Arabidopsis thaliana: one gene and its partners. The protein of the gene in region 3 purifies or fractionates together with the protein of the main gene of each other region. This does not show direct contact. Each region holds a gene or a part of one and is shown on either strand. Other genes may lie near its edges.

Evidence for each region.
Region 1: the proteins of AT2G30000 (region 3) and AT3G23325 fractionate together in Arabidopsis thaliana (co-fractionation; one large-scale study listed by BioGRID). This does not show direct contact.
Region 2: the proteins of AT2G30000 (region 3) and AT4G14342 fractionate together in Arabidopsis thaliana (co-fractionation; one large-scale study listed by BioGRID). This does not show direct contact.

Annotation. Positions count from the first base shown.
Region 1 is NC_003074.8:8,341,873-8,349,205, forward strand, and holds AT3G23325 (Splicing factor 3B subunit 5/RDS3 complex subunit 10), read left to right. Parts: upstream 1-3,897; 5' UTR 3,898-3,935; coding exon 3,936-3,941; intron 3,942-4,125; coding exon 4,126-4,211; intron 4,212-4,295; coding exon 4,296-4,419; intron 4,420-4,494; exon of another isoform or gene 4,495-4,784; intron 4,785-4,936; coding exon 4,937-4,984; 3' UTR 4,985-5,270; downstream 5,271-7,333. Other genes in the region: AT3G23310 (AGC (cAMP-dependent, cGMP-dependent and protein kinase C) kinase family protein), read left to right, coding at 1-30, 126-210, 362-493, 583-696, 810-857, 993-1,077, 1,169-1,225, 1,329-1,483; AT3G23320 (Polynucleotidyl transferase, ribonuclease H-like superfamily protein), read left to right, coding at 2,757-3,332; AT3G23330 (Tetratricopeptide repeat (TPR)-like superfamily protein), read left to right, coding at 5,328-7,333.
Region 2 is NC_003075.7:8,251,801-8,259,772, forward strand, and holds AT4G14342 (Splicing factor 3B subunit 5/RDS3 complex subunit 10), read right to left. Parts: upstream 3,805-7,972; 5' UTR 3,606-3,804; coding exon 3,600-3,605; intron 3,371-3,599; coding exon 3,285-3,370; intron 3,197-3,284; coding exon 2,983-3,196; 3' UTR 2,700-2,982; intron 2,037-2,699; coding exon of another isoform or gene 1,989-2,036; 3' UTR 1,736-1,988; downstream 1-1,735. Other genes in the region: AT4G14350 (AGC (cAMP-dependent, cGMP-dependent and protein kinase C) kinase family protein), read right to left, coding at 4,649-4,761, 4,856-4,912, 5,022-5,106, 5,597-5,644, 5,816-5,929, 6,025-6,156, 6,314-6,398, 6,485-6,564 and 5 more.
Region 3 is NC_003071.7:12,801,372-12,808,388, reverse strand, and holds AT2G30000 (PHF5-like protein), read left to right. Parts: upstream 1-3,364; 5' UTR 3,365-3,508; intron 3,509-3,991; 5' UTR 3,992-4,014; coding exon 4,015-4,347; 3' UTR 4,348-4,566; downstream 4,567-7,017. Other genes in the region: TBL45 (TRICHOME BIREFRINGENCE-LIKE 45), read right to left, coding at 375-533, 657-838, 1,433-1,604, 2,222-2,685.

The DNA of each region.
Region 1 (7,333 bases), on a different chromosome or scaffold from region 3:
GAAGAAAGGATATGGCATGGAATGTGATTGGTAGGTGCAGCAAATCTGTTGGGTCTTGTTCTGTTTTGTTTCTTCAACTCAAAATACATTGTTGTCGATAATTTTTTCGGGTTTTCTTCCTATAGGTGGTCACTTGGTGCGATCATGTATGAAATGCTTGTGGGGTTTCCACCATTTTATTCAGACGAGCCAATGACAACTTGTAGAAAGGTACCAATCCTCACTTTTTGTGGACTTTAACTCTGTTCTAGACTTCTAGTAATCTCAAATTTTTGCATTCGATTTAGTTCTTGATCTTCTAATGATACCTCTTTGGTAATATATGCACATCTCTGAATACTTGTTATTGTTTTTAATGCAGATAGTAAATTGGAAAAATTATTTAAAATTCCCTGATGAGGTTAGGCTATCACCAGAAGCCAAGGATCTAATTTGTAGACTTTTATGCAACGTAGAACAAAGGATTGGAACAAAAGGAGCAAATGAAATTAAGGTACTTTGTGCTTTATAATTCGAAGTTCCCGTGTCTAAAGACTATCGATAAATGCTTAAATAAACGCTTTCTGCTGGTATTTTTTGTAGGAACACCCTTGGTTCAGTGGTGTCGAATGGGAAAAGTTGTATCAGATGAAGGCTGCTTTTATTCCCCAAGTTAATGACGAGCTGGACACCCAAAATTTCGAAAAATTCGAAGAGGTAAAAACTAAAAGTGTTCGGATCAGAAAAACCGTTTGAAATGATAAGGCAACGGTCCAATGATGCGTATGCAGCTGTTGATATAGAAACTAATATAAATTCTTCTGTAACAGACTGATAAGCAAGTTCCGAAGACGCCAAAATCAGGTCCATGGAGAAAGGTACAAAATATTCTTGCTTTCATGTCTTTCTATGAAATGAAAACTTAGCTTGAAGTCATGCATATGAACTAATACTATGTGTTGTCATTAGCATTCTTAACATAAGAGTGTCTTTGTGTTTTGTTTTCTCTCCAGATGCTCTCATCCAAAGACATAAACTTTGTGGGTTATACTTACAAGAACGTTGAAATCGTAAACCATGATCAATTACCAGGGATAGGTAGATCTCACTTACACAACAAATTTGACTTGTAAGTAAACATATTCCATGTTTGCTCTGTTGTAATTTGTGATTGTGTTTACTGTTGCAGCTGAGCTGAAGAAGAAGAGCACAAAGCCAAAGCGGCCATCAATTAAATCCCTCTTTGGTACTTATCTAAAAGACATTTATCACAATCTATTTCAACTCATTGTCTGATATTAGCATATGGTTTTAGCACTAACAAGAATTGTTATAAAAACATTTGGCAGAGGATGAATCAGCCAGTAGCACCACAAGCCACCAAGGAAGCTTTATGAAACTCTTGCCAACACAAATCGAAGTTCCAGAGAAAGAAGACAAATCAAGCTCATCTAGTGAAACCCTATCATCTTCCACCACACGTTTCGACAATGCCACATCCTAAACCAGACTCTTTGCTACACTTTGGTCCCGGTTAACACACCAAAACACGGTTTGAGGTGGCGGATTTACGGTTGGAGATAGTACAGTTTCCATTGTGGCGGTGAAGGCTATTGTGTGAGAAGATTAAGGATTTGTTCAACAGTTTCTACATAGGATAATATTTGGTTGTTCAAAAGGTTTAGTTTGAAGCAAAAGGAAGTAAATAGTCATTTTCAGAATGTGGTTTTATTTATTTGTTTGATTGTTTTGTTTGGGTAAAAATCAAATTTGGTTTGTTTACCACACAGTTCTAAAGCGGACAATGGGAAAAATGTCAAAAAAATCATGAACTTTCAAATTTGGGACGAAAAAAACATGAACTTCCAAAATGCCATTAAAATCGTAAACTTTTGTTTGACTTTTGATAAATAGTCAAGTTTTGTTGACTTTGCCATTTTGAACATGTCGTTAAGTTTTCGTTAACAAAAAGATAACGTGATTAATTTTCTGTTAATTTTTTCTGTTAAAAGCGAAACGACGTCGTTTTGAAATTAAAGAAAAAAACAAAAAACAAACACCAAGTAGAGTTGAACTGGTGACCTTTTAGGTGCTATTGAAGGACTAAAACCATTGAGCCACGTTAACTTTTTAGAAGTATAGTAAACATATACATATATATATATATATACGTAACTAATTAAAAATAACCAACTAAAATAAATCAATAATATAGAAAATTACCTAAAATTTACACAATCCTTCTCATATGAATATAGGATTAATCTATACATGCACATAGAATTTCATTCAACTTCACTTTATATATAATTTTATTTATAATAAAACATATATTTTATAAATTAATTTGATAAATATTTAATAAAAGAAAAATATAAGATCATTATTCCGTCTTCAAATCAATTTTTTTATTCATAATTAGATGGAAAGTATATAAAAAGTTATTTTTTGGTAATATATTTATAGGTGTTATATTTCACAAGTTTGATTTTTATATAATTTAAGAGAATTTTTTTTTAATTCAATACGTTTAATAAAAAAATTTACATTGTTATTTGAGAATATATATTAATGGTAGGTGTATTTAATATTTTTACATGTTTAGTTATTGTTTTTATAGTTCGGTTTTTATTTGGTAGGTGCATTTTTATAATTTACATCATTTTTAATATTTTTATTTGCCATTTTGGTTAATATGGAGGATTTGGAAGAGCCGGAATGATTTAGTCTTCAACAAAAAAGCAATCGCTGTCGCTGATGTGATAAACCAAGCGATAATGGACACGAAAGAATGGCTGGATGTTAAGCATAAAAATGATGACAACGTCAAAGGGGGCCAAACCAAGTCCTCAAGAACGGACAAATGGCAAAAACCAGGAGCAGAATGGGTCAAATGCAATTATGATGTCTCTAACCATGCGGGAAGACAAGACTCAGGCCTCAGATGGATTATTCGAAACTCACAAGGAACCTGTTTGGACTGCGGCTGCGGGAAATTTCAGGGTCGACAAACAATAAAGGAAGCTGAATGCACTGCCCTCATATGGGCAATACAATGCGCTTGGGATTTGGGATATAGGAGAGTAGAATTTGAAGGCGACAACATCACAGTTAATCGCCTTATTCGAAACAAAGAAACTAATCCACGACTTCGATACTATTTGGAATTCATTCAACAATGGAGCAAAGCTTTCACCACTGTGAAGTTCACATTTCGACACCGGGAACAAAACGTTTGTGTTGATGTTCTGGCGAAAAAAGCAGTAGCTAATCATATAAATCATACTCTATATCATTTTTGTCCTAGATTTCTAATGTCGTTTGTAAACAAAGATGCTGAACACGTGAATTAATAAAGTTATTGGAAGGAAAAAAAAAAAAAATAGTTCGGTTTTTAATTAGTTTTGCGTATATATATATATATCAGTTTTCATTAATATCGAAATGTTATCATAGCATATTGGTTGAGCGCTTGTGATAATTTAGGAGGTTCACGAGTTCAATCCATTCTTGGCGCAAATTTTAATATATTTTTATTTTGAAACGACGTCGTTTCGCTTCTAACGGAAAATGTTAACGAAAAGTTAACTCCGTTATTTTGTTGTTAACGGAAATTTAACGACATGCCCAAAATAGTAAAGTCAACGAAACTTAATCATTTTATCAAAAGTCAGACGAAATTTTATAATTTTAGCGGCATTTCGGAAGTTCACGTTTTTTTTATCCCAAATTTAAAAGTTAATGATTTGGTTTGATTGAAATGTCCGGTTCTGGTTTGGTTTTCTTTTGTACCGGTTCTCATAATAATAGCCACGTATTAAAAATTTATTAGTAATGGATTTGGGCCAGACCCATTCTCAAAGCCCAATCAATTTCTCAGTGAAACATATATAAACCTAATTAAAGTGAAGCAGAAGTTGTATTCTTCTTCTTGCGAACTCGCTGAAGTCTGAAAGATGCAGGTTTGTCTCTCTCGATTCGAAACCCTAGTTACTTTTTTTTGTTCTTATCTCTAATTTTATACAATTTCTTGACGATTAAGCTAAGCGTAGCTGAAATCTGGGAACAATTTGCTTTAGTTCTTGTAAAGGTTAGGTTTTTAAGCAGCAGATAGTTATGTAATCTCACTTTTTTGTTTTTGTGCAGGCAAGTGATAGGTTTAACATAAATTCTCAGCTTGAGCATCTTCAAGCTAAGTATGTTGGTACAGGTCATGCAGATTTGAGCAGATTGTAAGTATTTTTCACTTTTTGTTTGGATTTTTCAGGATTCCAAAATTGTGAACTTATTGAAAATTTTGAATGTTTTTGTGTTAGTGAATGGACTGTGAACATTCAGCGTGATAGTTATGCTTCATACATTGGTCACTACCCGATGCTTTCTTACTTTGCAATAGCTGAGAACGAATCTATTGGTCGAGAACGTTACAACTTCATGCAGGTTTGTTTACTATCTTTCTTCTTGCATCATGTCAAGGAATCATATTGAGAATGTTAATGTGTTAGTGTCTTAAGGGAGAGGAACAATTAGGGTTGTTTCAAACAGGGTAAAGTGTTCCTGCTGCTCCCCTCTTTAGCTTGGAGAAGCCAGTAAATATCTTTCTCTTCAAGGAACTTGTGGGCCTCAAGAAAACCTGCTATAATTCTAGTTTTTCAACATTCCTCCTTCTGATATCAGCAACAACTCCTTACCCTTAAGAATGGAGAATGGAACTTCCTCAAAGATATTTACTTGGCCTCTGCAACCGGAAAGGGGAGCAGCATGAAACTCTTTTAACCCTTACCCTGTATTTGTCAAAAACAGATTGTATCATATCGTAAGTTAGCAGGAAACTACCAATCTTGAGGGTTGTTTCAAACTGTTATCTTCTGGTTCTTCTACACTCAAGAGTCAATGACTTTGCATTTTTGCTAATAGCTTTTACTAACTCCAAACTTCTTTGATTTTTTTTTTGCAGAAAATGCTCTTACCTTGCGGCCTTCCTCCAGAAAGAGAAGACGAGTAAGAGCTTGTGTGCATTTGAAATTAAAAAAAACATTCTACTTCTTAGAAGCTTGTGTGCAATCTTCTTTAACTGCTCCACCAATGTAATTGCCGAAAAGGCTTCTTCTTGTTTCTAGTTCATAATGCAGTTGTTGATCATGATCTAAACATTTGTACTTTGTTATAGTCTTGATACAATTGTCAAACTCAAAGTCTTTTTGCTACTCGAACAACTATTGCAAAAGAATTGAATTGAACAAGTCATAAAAAAAAGAGGTTAAAAGTTGGAGTATTTAAATGAATGACGAAAATAAAAATCAAACCTTTATGTTTGCTAATGGTGAATCTCTGAGAAGGAGACAAAGATGAGTTCATCAAAAGCCCTAATCAAAACCCTGATTAAGAATCCAACTCGAATCAAATCCAAATCTCAAGCGAAGCAGCTTCACGCACAATTCATCAGAACTCAATCACTCTCTCATACATCAGCTTCAATCGTAATCTCAATCTACACAAACCTTAAACTTTTGCACGAAGCTTTGCTTCTTTTCAAAACCCTTAAGTCTCCTCCTGTTCTAGCATGGAAGTCAGTAATCAGATGCTTCACCGACCAGTCTCTATTCTCCAAGGCGTTAGCTTCGTTTGTGGAAATGCGAGCTTCTGGGAGATGCCCAGATCACAATGTGTTTCCTTCTGTTTTGAAATCGTGTACGATGATGATGGATTTGAGATTTGGTGAGTCTGTTCATGGGTTTATTGTTAGGCTTGGTATGGATTGTGATTTGTATACTGGTAATGCGCTTATGAATATGTATGCTAAGCTTCTTGGTATGGGTTCTAAGATTAGTGTAGGTAATGTGTTCGATGAAATGCCTCAAAGAACGTCCAATTCTGGAGACGAAGATGTAAAGGCTGAAACTTGCATTATGCCTTTTGGAATAGACAGTGTGAGGAGGGTTTTTGAAGTGATGCCTAGAAAGGATGTTGTGTCGTATAATACTATCATTGCAGGGTATGCACAGAGTGGAATGTATGAAGATGCTTTGAGAATGGTTAGGGAGATGGGAACTACTGACTTAAAGCCTGATTCTTTTACTTTGTCTAGTGTGCTTCCGATATTTTCTGAGTATGTGGATGTTATTAAGGGGAAAGAGATTCATGGGTATGTGATTAGGAAAGGGATTGATAGTGATGTATATATTGGGAGTAGTTTGGTTGATATGTATGCGAAAAGTGCTCGGATTGAAGACTCTGAAAGAGTGTTTTCTCGCTTGTATTGTCGGGATGGTATCTCGTGGAACTCGCTTGTAGCTGGGTATGTACAGAATGGTAGATACAATGAGGCTCTGAGATTGTTCAGGCAAATGGTGACCGCAAAGGTTAAGCCAGGGGCTGTGGCGTTCTCAAGTGTGATTCCTGCTTGTGCTCACCTAGCCACCTTGCACCTTGGGAAACAACTTCACGGATATGTATTAAGGGGTGGCTTTGGCAGTAACATATTCATAGCTAGTGCACTTGTTGATATGTACTCGAAATGTGGGAATATTAAGGCTGCTAGGAAGATTTTTGACAGGATGAATGTACTCGATGAAGTATCATGGACGGCTATTATAATGGGGCATGCGTTACATGGTCATGGGCATGAAGCAGTTTCGTTGTTTGAGGAGATGAAACGACAAGGAGTGAAACCGAATCAAGTGGCATTTGTTGCTGTACTAACGGCTTGTAGTCATGTGGGGTTGGTAGATGAGGCATGGGGATATTTCAACAGCATGACTAAGGTTTACGGTTTAAACCAGGAGTTAGAACATTATGCAGCTGTAGCGGATCTTCTAGGCCGTGCAGGGAAGCTGGAAGAAGCATACAATTTCATTTCAAAGATGTGTGTTGAACCAACTGGTAGTGTCTGGTCTACCTTATTGTCTTCTTGCAGCGTTCACAAGAATCTTGAGTTGGCTGAGAAGGTAGCGGAGAAGATATTCACTGTCGATTCTGAAAACATGGGAGCTTATGTTTTGATGTGCAATATGTATGCGTCTAATGGAAGATGGAAAGAAATGGCGAAACTAAGATTGCGTATGAGGAAGAAAGGATTGCGGAAAAAGCCAGCTTGTAGTTGGATCGAAATGAAAAACAAGACTCATGGATTTGTTTCAGGAGATAGATCGCATCCGAGTATGGACAAGATCAACGAGTTTCTTAAAGCTGTAATGGAACAGATGGAGAAAGAAGGGTATGTTGCAGACACAAGCGGCGTGCTTCACGATGTAGACGAAGAGCATAAGAGAGAGCTTTTGTTCGGACACAGTGAGAGATTGGCTGTTGCCTTTGGTATCATCAACACAGAACCTGGCACGACAATTAGAGTCAC
Region 2 (7,972 bases), on a different chromosome or scaffold from region 3:
GCTGATTTAGTGGTGAAAGTTGAGGACTTTCGCAAGAAAAGAGAAAGAAAGTTGTTTTCTTTTACTTGGAGAAAGAAGAAGAATCTCTGGGGGGACAAAGAATTAGAAGAATCGGATCTGAGTTTGAGGGAAGATTTTGCGGAGATTTGCGGAAGAAAAGAGAAAGAGAAAGAAGAAGAAGGGAATAATAAAGAAATGAATATGTGAAAATTGAATTTAACCTAAAGAAAGACAAAACTTCAACGTAAATATTTATCATTCATTGAATCTTTTTATTTTATTTTTGTATACTGTTTTTTTTTTAATTACTTAGAAGAAAAAATTAGTTGTTTTCGTGCACGGTTTAACATTTAAATTCTCTGTTTTCTAACGACCAAAACTCTAATTCGTAATAACCATAAACATCACTTAATCAACAACAACACGAAACAAGTTTGCAAAACTTTATAATATATTTTTATTAAAAACAGAATCTACCACCAAAAAAAAAAGTTCTACATTTGTCATTTTTCAAGCTGAAATTTTCATTTTACGTTTATATATTTTGATACATTATTGGGGATAGAGTATAATCTCATTAAGATTATCACTATATATCTTGTGATAGAGTTATGTCCTATATTTTAGGGATTAGAGTATATCTCATAAGATGTCTCTCTTGTATAAATACTATACTTTGTGAATCAATAAAATCAAGTTAGTGCAATACCTAAGTCTACATACATCACCCAATTTACATTGATTTATTTAAGTTTTTTTTTACTCATTTACTAATCGTACCAATATGTTGATGAACATTTTTGGATTTAAACTGTCAACAAATCGTGTACTAGCGCAATATTATCATATTATCACTTTGTTCTATCTTATGATCTCTCGCTTGGACAGATTCTGGAAGTGCATGTAAAGGACCTGATTTTATAAAAGTTCAAACAATTTAAAAAAGAAAGCATCCATTTACTTGTGGATCTCCCGAACGCTTGGTAACGTCGATACATGGAACACTTGTTGATGAGTCTTGAGAAATCAAGCTCATACTTAATAACCAGTTTACATGTCGTTAGTAGATCTTCTCGATGAACTCATGAACACAGTGTGAAATTCATGAGTTTCTTCTATATGGTAATTTAGTAGGATAGCTAATGTTCTTCTATGCTATATTAAGCATTTTGTTTTTACTTTCATTTTCAATATGAAAATTAACATGTGTCTCTAAAGGTAAACGTGTTAGGACCATTCATCTTGAGTCAAGTGATATTTCACATGCATGGGAAACAAAACTTATTGATAATTGTATACAATGACTAAAGTTTTATAATGTTTATGAAACTTTCGGATTGTATACAATGACTAAAGTTTTATAATGTTTATGAAACTTTCGGTATTGTTAAAGTATTATGATGGTCAATGAAACTAGGCAAAAATAAGTCAAAGAGAATAAGAAAAATTATCCATAAGTAAGCAAGCTTATAATAGATGCGTATGATTATATCAACTATAGTGTTTATAGGCTTCCATCGTTGACGATATTACATTATTTATAGTTTAGATTTTAGAATACGTTTGATGAAATGGCTTTTGGTTTAAGTGGCCTAAGCTTTTTGCTTTTATTTGTCCATTTGTCACACCCGTTGTTTTCTTGTCGTTTGGACATCCCACGGTAAGAATTTATGTCGGGAACTTTTAACAAATCAAACTAGGCATGCAATAACGGTTATGTCGGATTATTCGGGTTTTTGGATAGTTCAAAAATTGAAAATTTTGATGAATTTGATTAAAACACGAAACCGTGTAAAACCAACCTAAAAATCCAAGGTGTTTTGTTTTTTACATTCAAGAAAAGCAAACTTACACAGACAAAGTTGTTTTTTAACAGTCATATAAATCTCTACCAGAAGATCAAATTGGACAGTTTTTAAAACTCCAAACCAACATTCCATCACACGAGTTCTTGATAACTTGAAAGACAAATCGAATCCTCATGTCACCTATTCCTCTTCTCTTTCCGGAGGAAGGCCGCAGGGTAATAGCATTTTCTGGAAATCAAAAGACATCTCAAGTTATTCCAAAACATCATCACATCTACAAAGTGTAACCAATTTTTTGAGCAAAGAACACCCCACAAATATTCATATTTTTCTATGCTTTTCGATTAACCCTCAAGAAGACCATATATTCAGATATAAGAGATCGCTATCACAAGATTATTCAACCATGTAAGAGACCTGTTTCATGAAAAAACTGAAAGCCAAGGCGAGCTCACAACTGTTTGTGAAAGGAACTAAGCTTCCATTAATTTGAGAATTGAGGACAAATGAAAACATTTGAGTGAGAGACCACACCATAACCTAATGCTCTATAATCTAATTGTAACCTACACAACTGGAGGCTGCTGAATGGTCAGTGAAATGTGAAGTCCATAGTCTAGGAAATCAACATATCACGACAAATAGAGAAATACGCCATTGACAAGACCTAAACTAAAACCATACAACAAATCAATGAATCTGAAAAGGAAAAGGAATGAGATATACCACAAGATAACCACGAAATGATACATTCCTAATCGACTACACATAGAATCATAATCCAAACCTTGAACTGTAGATTTGTCACTAGATAAAGGATGAGGCAAAAGGAAAGTACAGAATTTTACTGATAAGATTCCTATTAACACAGAGAATAGGAAGCAAACCTACATGAAATTCTAACCTATCACACATTTCAACCATGCAAGAGGCGAATAAACCGAAACCAACCGAGTTGAGTAAGACCATGACCCAACGCTCTCTAATATAATTGTATCCTACAGAACTAGAGGCTGCTGAAATAGTCAGTCAAAACTGAAGTCCATGGTCTAAGAAATCAAAATATCACGACGAATAGACAAATACGACATTTAACAGTAAACTAAAAACCATACAACAAAGCAATAAATCTGGAAGGCAACATAAGTTACATAACCATATGATACGCACCTAATCAAATAAACATAGAATCATAATCCAAATCTTGAACTGTAGATTTGTCACTAGAGAAAGTAATATGCAAAAGACATGAAAGGAGGCAAACCTGCATGAAATTGTAGCGTTCTCGTCCAATAGACTCGTTCTCAGCAATAGCAAAGTATGAAAGCATAGGGTAGTGACCAATGTATGAAGCATAACTATCACGCTGAATGTTCACAGCCCACTCACTGTACCATTTAAACCAATTCCACAAATTAGTAGCCAATAAAAACAATGCATATAAAAATTTGAACACTAAAATCAAAAGAAACTCACAATCTACTCAAATCAGCATGACCGGTTCCAACATATTTAGCTTGAAGATGCTCAAGCTGAGAATTGATGTTAAACCTATCACTTGCCTGCAAAAGAAAAAAACCCAAACCAAAAGATGTTAAATTTAAAGCAAATTGTTCCCGATTTCATCTATATATGCTTTATAAGAAACAAATCGACCTAATTTCGTCTAAGCCAATTCTCTTCGACATAGATAAATTAAACAGACAGAGAATCAAAGGTAGAAGAAGCTAATTAGGTTATTTCTTCTTCCAATTTACCAACAAAAGCTAGGGTTTCGGATCGAGAACATACCTGCATCTTTTTCAGAGTTTCGCAGCAACTAGAAGAAGAAGAAGAAGAAGAAGAAGAAGAAGAAGAAGAAGAAGAAGATCTAAACCCTATCTTTCTTCAAGTCCTTTATCTGCTAATTGTTTTCGGTTAATATTTAAATCCGAAATAACCGACCGGTTCGTTCGGTGTACCCGAAGTAGTAGATCATAAAATGAAAACGTGGTCGTTTCACATAATAAAGAAGTTAAGGCAAGAAGCTTGGAATTTGGCTAACAATTGTGGATTCTTTAATCATTATCAATCTACAGAATACAAACAAAAGTGGCTGTAGTTTAGTGGTTAGAATCCCACGTTGTGGCCGTGGGGACCTGGGCTCGAATCCCAGCAGCCACACTTAGTCTTTTTTCTTTTTTATACTATTTTGACATTTGAAGAAGGTCTCTTAAGGGCCTACGAATACTCATAGAGGTACATTTGTTCTCTACTTCTTTTGTATGCACTTTTTAGTCTTCAGTCTTCACACGCAATTGGTTCCAAAGGCCTACATATAGTGTAGACTGTAGACTTTTAGCACCAAATCTGAGGTGCCATTAAGCCATCTGTTTCACTCTTGAGTGTACTCAATTAAACACATTCAGTGAGAACAGTTTTTCAGATTGGCGCTTTTTCTAATCTAATAAATAGTAAATACTTTTGCTTATAGCATTAGAGGGTGAAGATTTCATCTTGAGGTTTAGTAGTACAACCAAGTTTTGATTAACCAAAAAAAAAAAAATCAAATACCAAAGCTCACCTTCTCTCCCTGTGAAAATAAATAAACAAGCCAATTCCGAAAAGAATATTTACTTTTTCACTTTTCTATGTTGAAAACAATTAAACAAATCCATCTTTCTCCTCTGGGAGAGCCTTCGCTTCCACTGGAGAGACTGTACTTTGTTGAAAAACCCCTGCTAACTCCAACTTTTAACAGTCGTTTAGAGAAAGCAAAAGGCTTTCAACGAAATCAACAACACACATGTTAATATAACAAGAGTCTTCTGGTTCAGGCTGTGCAATGTGTCAAATGAAATTCACCCGGATGAGCTCGACTTACTACCTTCTTTCTCTGGATCTTCAATCTGCGTCGGTAGTAGATTCAAAAAGCTTCCTTGGTGGGTTGTTGTCCCACCAGATGTTTCGTCTTCTGTTAATTTAGTTTCCACAGTTTGGTTAGAGAGAATCAAACATGGATCGTAATCATCTTGATTTTACAAATAGCATACAAACAGATGATTTACCAAAGAGAGATTTAATAGACGGCCTTTTTGGCTTATTGCTCTTCTTCTTCAACTCAGCTGCACAATAAAACAAATTACAAATGCAGCAAACATGCGATGATAATCACAAGGTAATCTAGTATTGTTGCTTCTTCCTCAGCAACGGAAGGGGGGTTAAGTGAATTACCTATCCCTGGTATTTGGTCATCATTTACGATTTCTACGTTCTTGTAAGTATAACCAACAAAGTTAATGTCTTTGGATGAGAGCATCTGGAGAAGAAAAAAAGAAAGCCAGCGTCATGTTATGAAATTCACAAGAATCCTTTTGGTTCATGACATAAATTCTATTGACAGAACAGGTTCTAAGTTATATCATGTTGGTCCAAAAAGATAAGTGATTCATCTAACACACGTCAACATGCAGAACTGGCAGATTAACAACATAATTCTGTTAGTAGCATCCCAATCAGCTCCAAATTCTAAATTACCATAAGAAAATTTGAACCTAAAAGAGTGAATCACGTTTTTGTGAATATAGTACAAAGATAGAAACGCCTGTGACAGAAACTGAGCCAATTTCATCATTCTGAGCTCTTTGTTGCATGTAATATTTTAAGCTACGTCTGTAGTATCATCAAAGAACAACATATCTCAAGGAACCCACTTATAGATAAATTTTGAAGTATGATCACTCTTCTATTAGATAAAAAAAAAAAGCTTGATGGTACATAATGCCAAAAAGTCAGTGCTTATGCTGTACCTTTCTCCATGGACCTGACTTGGCTGACTTTGGAACTTGCTTGTCAGTCTGTTCCAGAAGGAATCAAAGAAGAGTATACATTATTTTCCTTATCAGGAGCATAAAAATCATCTGTGATACCAATATTTCAGTATATACATCATGCCACATCATTTGGTGGCATATATTGCACCAATATTTCACTATAGACATCATTAGCTGATAGTATCAGTGTGTTACCTCTTCAAATTTCTCAAAATTTTGGGTGTCCAACTCATCATTAACTTGGGGAATAAAGGCAGCTTTCATTTGATACAATTTTCCCCATTCTGTGCCTCTAAACCAAGGGTGACCCTGAAAGAAACCAGTCAAATCGTTTTTAAGAATTGCACACAATGATCTTACATAAGGGAACTTTGAATCTCAAAGTTGAACAACGCATACAACACCTTAATTTCATCTGCTCCTTTTGTTCCAAGCCTTTGTTCAACATTGCATAAAAGCCTACAAATAAGATCCTTGGCTTCTGGTGATAGTCTAACCTCATCTGGGAATTTCAAGTAATTTCTCCAATTTACTATCTGCATAAGGGGGAAGATAATGAATCGAGAAGAGGTAAGTTTCCACATTAGAATTACCAAAGAGATACAAAAAGACTAAAATTAAATGTAAGACTTGAAATCGCCAGTCTGCCTTCAATATTAAAATGAAAGATTCAAAAAGGAATGGATTAATTACCTTCCTACAAGTTGTCATTGGGTCATCTGAATAAAAGGGCGGAAACCCCACAAGCATTTCATACATAATGGCGCCAAGAGACCACCTAAATCTCAAGATTATTCACCCATATTATTTATTTACACCAAAGAAATCAAAGACCACAAATAGGAATAGGTTGGCTTCACCTACCAATCACATTCCATTCCATATCCTTTTTTCAACAGAACTTCTGGGGCAATATAGTCAGGAGTGCCAACTGTGGAATAAGCCTGAAAGTAATGACCTTAACCTAGTAAGTCATATCTAACATAGATGTCTATATCAATGGAGAGAATTTGCTTTCAATAACGAAATATACTGGATACTGTGGACTACTCCACATCTCTGGAAGAAAAGATGAGGAATAAGTGAAACTTACAAGCATCCTTCTATTTCTCTGCCAGTTTAGTAATTGCTCTTGTTGGGTGCGTCTTGTCGCCACAGGGCGACCATCACTTTGTAAAGCCCCACTAACGTTTCTTGCAACTGTAAAGTCTTTCTCTTGAAGATTACTACAGTCTAATGGTTTACATAATCCAAAATCTGACAATTTCATGTGGCCGTCTTTGTCAAGTAGCAGATTATCAGGCTTGATATCTCTGTATCACATTGGAGAAAAAAAGACGTTTAGAACAAAATAACAATGGGAGCTAGAACTAAATCATATATTCTGCTTCACTGACCTGTGAATGTAGTTGTGCTTATGAATGGACTCAATAGCCAGGACAGTTTCCCCAATATAAAACCTGGCCTCGTCTTCAGTGAGGGTGTCTTTCCTCATAAGTAAAGTCATCATATCCCCACCAGGTAAATACTCCATTATGAGATACAAGTACTCTTCATCTTGGAAAGAACAATACAGTTTGACAATGCAATTGCTATCAACTTCTGCAAGTAAATTTCTCTCTGCTTTTACATGTTCCACCTGAAAATCAGATTCCACATTCACATCAACCAACTAAACAAATGTCAAACGAAAGCCACTTGAAGGAATTTAAATACCTGGCCTCTGCGAAGCATCTCAGATTTCTTAAGCTTCTTCATTGCATAGACATTGCCTGTTCCCTTCTCCCTACAGATCCTAACCTGCAAAGAGAAAGAGAAAAATTAGCATGCCATACTTTTTTGAAAAATTAGCTGTGGTAAAAAAAATGGCCTAAGAAGACCTTTCAAGAAGGATGCATCACAGAGAACATTTCAAGATGATGCATGCCAATGAGAGGCTGAGAAAACAGAGTAACAGACTATGATCTATAAAAGAGATGTTACCTCTCCGAATGCACCCTTCCCAATCATTGTCAATGGCTCAAAGTCATCAGCTCCCATTTTATGCCTCTGACGGCGCATATATTCAGTTTCCTTCATCTCCAAATCCTTTAGCAAGTTATTTTGCTCTTCCTCAGAGACTTCTGCAGCAGCTAATTTTTTCTCTAGCATTTTGCGTCTGTATGAAATGTAAATACCAAACAAAGAGCTAAGGATATGGACGGAAGTTCACACGAAAGTAGCAGAAAGACACGAATAAAGTTCTTTCCCATCATGAAAACTTGAAACATATAAATATGTAATGAAACCATACCGCTCCTTTCTTTCCTGCAGACTCTGCATTTGCATTTTGTAATGGTTTTCAATATACAG
Region 3 (7,017 bases):
TTCATCACGTCTACACTTTCTAGCTATAGCTAGCAAAGGCCATGCACAATGGTGGGTTACTAAAGACTAGAGAGAGTAGCTTGGTAGCAACTAGCAAGCCAATTTATTTAATATAGTTTGGCAACATCTAGCAAAAACTATCAATCCAACGCATATGTTTCCTATTTATTAATTTGCGTCGTTAATATCAAGATAATTAATTTATCAATTATCAACACTACACGTGCTTATATATGTCTCGTATAATGCTAATTATCATCATTCATCACATAGCTCCCAAAGTCTCGTGTAGTGTTAAAAACAAAGAAAAACTAATTTATGATAGTTTAGTGGTTGAATAATTCATTTTAAGATTAAGAGAGAGTGGTACATACTTGTAGTGTGTGGGTGAGACCGAGAGGAAGAAAACTCTAGTGAGAGGAGAATTGATATAACGAAGGACCCAACTAGACCACGTTCCTAGTCCTTTTCTCAACGCCACTAACCTATCCATGTCGCCGTAATATCTCCCACCTGTCTCCATCTGCTCCCACCTGTCTCATCCCAAAAAACTTTCACTATTCACTCATAATTTACAATAATGATCTATATGTTACCCTCCTAGTTATAGGTATGTGAAAAATTTCACTTATATAGAGGTTATAACTTTAGCTTACCCTCGTAAAGAACCTGTGTGGCTCCACCAGTGACCAGTGTTGAACAATAGAACGTCGGCTGTGCGCCAAGCATTCGATGCATCCACAGAGATTTCGTCGAGTTTAAGAGTTGTCTTTCCGTTAATTTTGTCGATGTCTACAAGATAAGGAGCTCTATAGAATGATACCTTCACGTTGTAGTCCTGTCATTGCATATACACATTAGCAAAGAACTGGAAGTAACTTGAGGTATAACTTAAGGTTTGAATGGTAACAAACAATAGTTTGTTTATCGCCTTTCAACTAATTTTAATGAATAGACCTAAACTTATTTTCAGCAAATTAAAATTGTTTTCATTTAAGTGCCTTAAAAGAATAAAGCTGAAAGCTAAAATTGTTTTCTTATCGGAAACTTAAAGAAAGTATTATTAAAGTAATATAAGAACTTCAATTTATAGCAAGAAAATTAATTCAGATTAATTAAAATGACTTCTTTCTAGTGGTCTTATTCTAATCCGAAGAGCTTAGATCAAAATTATCTGAAAATAAACTAATATTCCATATTCATACCAAAAAAAAGAAGTATAATACTGTAGATTAGTAGTAACTGATATTGCTTTATTGGACCAGTGAAACTGTCACCGACGACGTCAAGTTGTGAGGGTAATAATAGTTGAAAACGACGTTCAAAATTACAACTTTTGACCTCAATTTTCACGAGGTTATTCGAGAAAACTTGACCAAACAGAAAAAAAGTTTCATTTACCGACAATAGAAAATTTGTTTTGGGAACTTACAAGGATCTTGAAGGTAGAGAGAGGATCTTCATGAATGATGTGAGTATTAATGGACGGTGCTGATGAAGAGATCATACATATCAACGACTCCCATTGGTTTCTACCCAACGAATCACCAACGAACATTATGGTTTTGTCTCTCATTTCTTGTAGAAACTTCACTCCATTGAATCTGCTTTCCCAAATGGAGTATAATCAGAAAGGGGTTCCATAAATAAATCATTGCGTCGACATTACATATTTAAAATAATAAGTACTTATTATATTAACCGTACCAAACTCCACCTAATTAACAGTAAAATCAATTTGTTTTTTGTTAAAAACGAATCTGTTAAACTTGTACTTATTACACATTTAGAAAAGGAGAATCTCTCATAATTAACTAATAGAAAAATATATTATAAAGTTGTATGTATGTAATACCCCTAATTATGAAAAAAATGTAGTGAAGGAATGTCTATAACCATAAAATATTAAATACTAACAAATAATTTGGGATCATTGTATGATCCAAATACTATCGTATATATATGACAATTCTTGGTATAACCAGCTAGAATTTGTTTTTGTCTTTTTCATAAAGTAATCAAATTTACAATCTTGGTTGGTATAGTGGCCCTACCAAAAATTCATTTGCCAAAGCATAAGTTTTACTATTGGATGTCAGATTATAACCTCGGTATCAATAAAATGAATATTTCTTCCTCAAAAACAAGACAACTAAAATTAACATTAACCAAATTAATCTAACAAAGTAGAGCTAGTGACAAGTGAGTGAGTTTAAATAACCTAGGGACATTGCAGTTGAAAGGTTTCCACCGGAACTTGAGATAGTCGGAGTCAGGTCTGCCGTAAGTCTGGCAGTCGAATCCCGGATCTATGATTCCTCGGCCGCATTCTTTAGACCGGTAAAGTGGGTAAGTCTCATCCCGCACCCACTCGCCGGCGAACAGATCACAACTACTATGATTCACCGGGAAAACCACCTGACTTCGGCGAGGATGCTTCACGAAGTTGCTGTGGTTGCTTTGGATCGGCCGCCGGAAGAGAGGGAGAGGTGAAGCTGACGTCGCGTTTTGGAGAAGAAACAAGAAGAGGAAAGTGAGACATTGAACAGCCGCCATTAAAGAAGCGCTTGAAGAAAAGAAAAGAAAAGAGAGAGAGAGAAACGAGTAAAGAAGAGAAGTTGTTGTTATTATATGTTTGTCCTTTGCATGGAACTTACTAATACGTAATGTTTTCGAGGACTCCATCTTTTAAAAGGACGAAAAATATGGGGTCGGGTTTTAATTTATTTTCTTATAATAATTGAATTTAAGTATTTATGCTTTACCCATAAATAACAACATTTAATACCAGTATTAGTGAATTACGAGTTACTGCTCCGGACTCTGAAACTTAAACGGTTTTGGGAAACACATATAAAATCAATGTGTAACAGTAAAACAAACTTCAAACGTATTATCAATAGAAAAAAAGGTAAAACAAACGTATCAAGAATTCAAGGTATATAAATATAATAGATAACGAGTTAACGACCTTCTTTATGATCTCACAAGGTATCAAGATTTTGTAATTGTTCCTTAGAGAAAATACAAAAATGCAGATTCTTTGCTTTACTTTACCTCCATGTCTAGAATATGATCATTTTTTTTATAATTGTGAAAAAGCCACGTCACTGTGGTGATACTCAGTCAAAGCTAGGTCAATGAAATTACCAATTTGGCACTGACAGTGGCAGCTGCTAGTTGCGCACACTCATAAACGGTAACGTTTGGACCGGGTCTAAATTGGGTACTATTGATTAGGACATGGTTTAATTGATTTGACTGCCGGTTTGGTTTGGAGCAACTTAAACTAATCTGGTCCAATAATAATGGGCTTTTACTTTGGGCTTTAAAGATTCTGATTGGACCCACTTTACTAAACTGGAATCTGGATGCTTCGTTATTTGTGTAGAATCCGACCCGATTCGTTTTATTGCTCTTTTTGCTTCGTCGTCGATCTTGGCGCTCTGGAAATTTCTCGTCGCAACGTTCTTCTCTATTGGCTCAAGTTAGATCTCCCTTTACTTGTGTGAGTTTTATTTCACCTTTTTCTGGGGTTTGTTTATTTTGTGTACTGATTTCGTTGCTCTGAAATCTTAGGGTTTGTATTTTGTAATGTCTATGCTTATTGATGGAGCTTTCGGTAGTTTGATCAAATTTCAAATTTCTTATCGATAGTTTCTCTTCCACGATTTTGTTGGGTTAGTAGAGTAGGCCTCTGGAACTGGAAATTAGAAAATTTTGGCTGGAACTGATGCATGTAAGGTGTTCGACGAAATTCCTCTGAGAAACTATTAGTGACAAGCTTCTTTTTTGAAGTTTTACTTTCTTTTCTGATTCTCTAACTGTTGATTAGAGTTTAGTTTTTCAGTAGTTTTATTAATTCCTAGTCTCCATTTAGTTGGAAGGAGCTTATTAGTTTTCTTTTACTAAGCTATCTCTTGCTCACCTTTTCCTTTGTGAATGAGTATATAGACAAATGACCTCTTTTTGCTTTTGTTTTGGTTTGCAGATCAAACACTGTTCCAGTAAGCCATGGCGAAGCATCACCCTGATTTGATCATGTGCCGGAAACAACCCGGAATTGCTATTGGACGACTGTGTGAGAAATGCGATGGGAAATGCGTGATTTGTGATTCTTATGTGCGTCCGTGTACTCTAGTACGTATTTGTGATGAATGCAACTACGGGTCATTCCAAGGTCGGTGTGTTATATGCGGTGGCGTTGGAATCTCAGATGCTTATTACTGCAAAGAGTGTACACAGCAGGAGAAAGACAGAGATGGTTGCCCCAAGATTGTTAACCTTGGCAGTGCGAAAACCGATCTCTTCTATGAACGCAAGAAATACGGATTCAAAAAACGATGATAGTTCGGTATTTCGTGATTTGTACGGTCCTTTGATTACTTGATTTGGATCTCTTATGCTATGTGTAAACTTGTTTGTTGACCCCCGTTGCATAAAACATATATTCCAATAAAACCTGAAGATATTGGATACAAAACCTAAGTTATGCTTTGTTTTATGATTTTCTTAAGTTACACATGTTTCTCTCGATTATTTCTTAATACTTAAAAATTATATATATCATAATCTTACAAAGCCAAAGGAATATATTTATAACCAGACTCGAACAAACATGACAAGACCCGAGATTCATATTCGAGAAATGATGTTGTGAAGTCCGGTTCATCGATCAAGCAGTCGATAGTGATATAAAATTGAGTCTATCGTAAAATTTATCCCACCAAAATCCAATAATATCACCAGTCTTGAACTTTCTTTTATCAAGAATGTTACTCCATCCGTGAAACTTGAAATTTCCATCTTGCTCTTTTTTCATAATAAGAGTTGTTGTAATCTTCGAATCGTATTCGTATAAATCCAACAATTGTACCGAATCGTGTTGTGACAATTTTACACGACGATGTTTACTAAACCATGGAAATAAGTTTTTCTCTACAAACTCTTTAGGCATTGTTAATGTATTACTCAAACCTGTGTCTGATGCTTTCAACTTTATCAGGATGTTCAATGAATGGCTTGGATCAAACGGCTTATCGTGACACAACTCAGTTCTTGCCATGATTTAGCACAGAAATTATATGAATATCAGGTTTTGTATTGAAGAATTTGTTTATGGGTTAAGGATACATATATATATATATATATAACAATAATTGTGTTGCGTGGATGATTGTAATTAAGAGTTTTTGACAAAACAGATATGGTTTTTTCTTTCTCTCATAAATATCATAAGATTCACTATTGATTAAACATTTGGTATTTAAATATAATCAAAGTTTAAAATTAGTACTAGATTTTAACCCACGGTATACCGCGGGACGATTTATTTTGTAAAAGTAATATATATTAAAACTTGCAAATTTTATTTTTATAAAATATTTATATTTTACAGTTTATAATTGTTGTTAAGTAACGCTATACCACGAATCAATGAGACAATTGTTAAAAAACTGAAGTTTTAACCCCTATTAAAACAACATATTAATAATATTTTAAAAAATTTTAAATATTAATTCAAATACATCCACCATATAACACAATTCCAAAATAAAATCCGTTCTGTAATTTCTTTACCCGTCCCGTGATTTTTTTTAAAGTAGTAATTTTAAAATTTTAAGAATTATTTTTTATATATAAAAGTTTTGCAAATTGTATCATTCTCTAATACATTTATATTTTATAGTTTAATTTTATATATAGTAACATTATACATACCACATAACATTTTTGGTTTTATATAATCTTTTCTAAATTAGGATTATTTGATATATTTAATATTAGTGGTCTTAAAAAATAATAAATTAAAGATTTAACTTGTATTGAAACGGTGGATTGATTATATTTTACTTTTTTATTAATGTTGATTCAAAAACCCGTCCCTCCAAATCCGTCTTACCAAAAAGCCATTTATTTTATTAATATTAATTTTATTAATGATATGACTCTGAATTATAATCTAAACATTTTAGCTAATAACATAGGAGTGCACTATATTTATTTATTATGGGAATGTACCTTATGACCCGAATGCACTTTTACCCAAATCCACCAAAAAAAATCTTGCAAAAATACTATAGAGATAATAAACGATAGTCGGTTCTGATAGGTATAAGATTAGCAAATATATTAGTTAGCTTTTATTAGTTAAAGAATACAAATTGAAAAGGTATATTACACTTTATTCAAATATAGTATCAAAACTTATATAACACAGAGATTTGATAATTTTTTAATTGTTGAGTACTTTTTTTTGTGCTAATTTTTATGTGATTAAGATTTAATTGATTTCGTATATAAAATTATTAAATTGTTTTACGAACTTATTTGTTTATAATTTGGTAACAGATAGATATTCGAATATTTAGTATATTTTGCTTTAGTTTAGGAAATCTTTGATGACCCGTTTTTAGATCCAATAAGCCCTATAATCTAGATATTAACCTGCAGTATACCGCATGTAGGCTTATTATATATTAGTTAAACTAAAAACTTTTACTGTAAAGATGATTTTAAAATATATGATATTATTTTATTTGATTTTAAATGTATAGTAAACTGTGAGTTGTATATGTTTTGTTGATATTATCTATATTGTTTAGTGTTTAAGATTATACACATGTAGTTTGATTGTTAATTTAAGAGTTTCACCTGTATTATACCATCTTGTATTAATATCGATCTAAACCCGTCAATTCTAGGATTTTCGAGCTTGTATTAAAAATTAAATCACATCATACACATAAAAAAAATCTAATATGTTATTAATTATTGTAGTATATAAGATTATAAATTTTCAATATAATATGTATAAAATTGAATATAAATATTTCAAATTATGACCTGTTACTCAGTAGAAAGTTTTCTTAAATCTATTTTTCACCCGTTATAATATTTTTTCATGTATTGAACAATTTATATTCGTTTTTAAAAATTCAAATTATGGCATATGCGAAAAAGTCTAATTCTTTTTTTATAATGATGATTTTATTTTTTCGAAAAATAGAATCATAT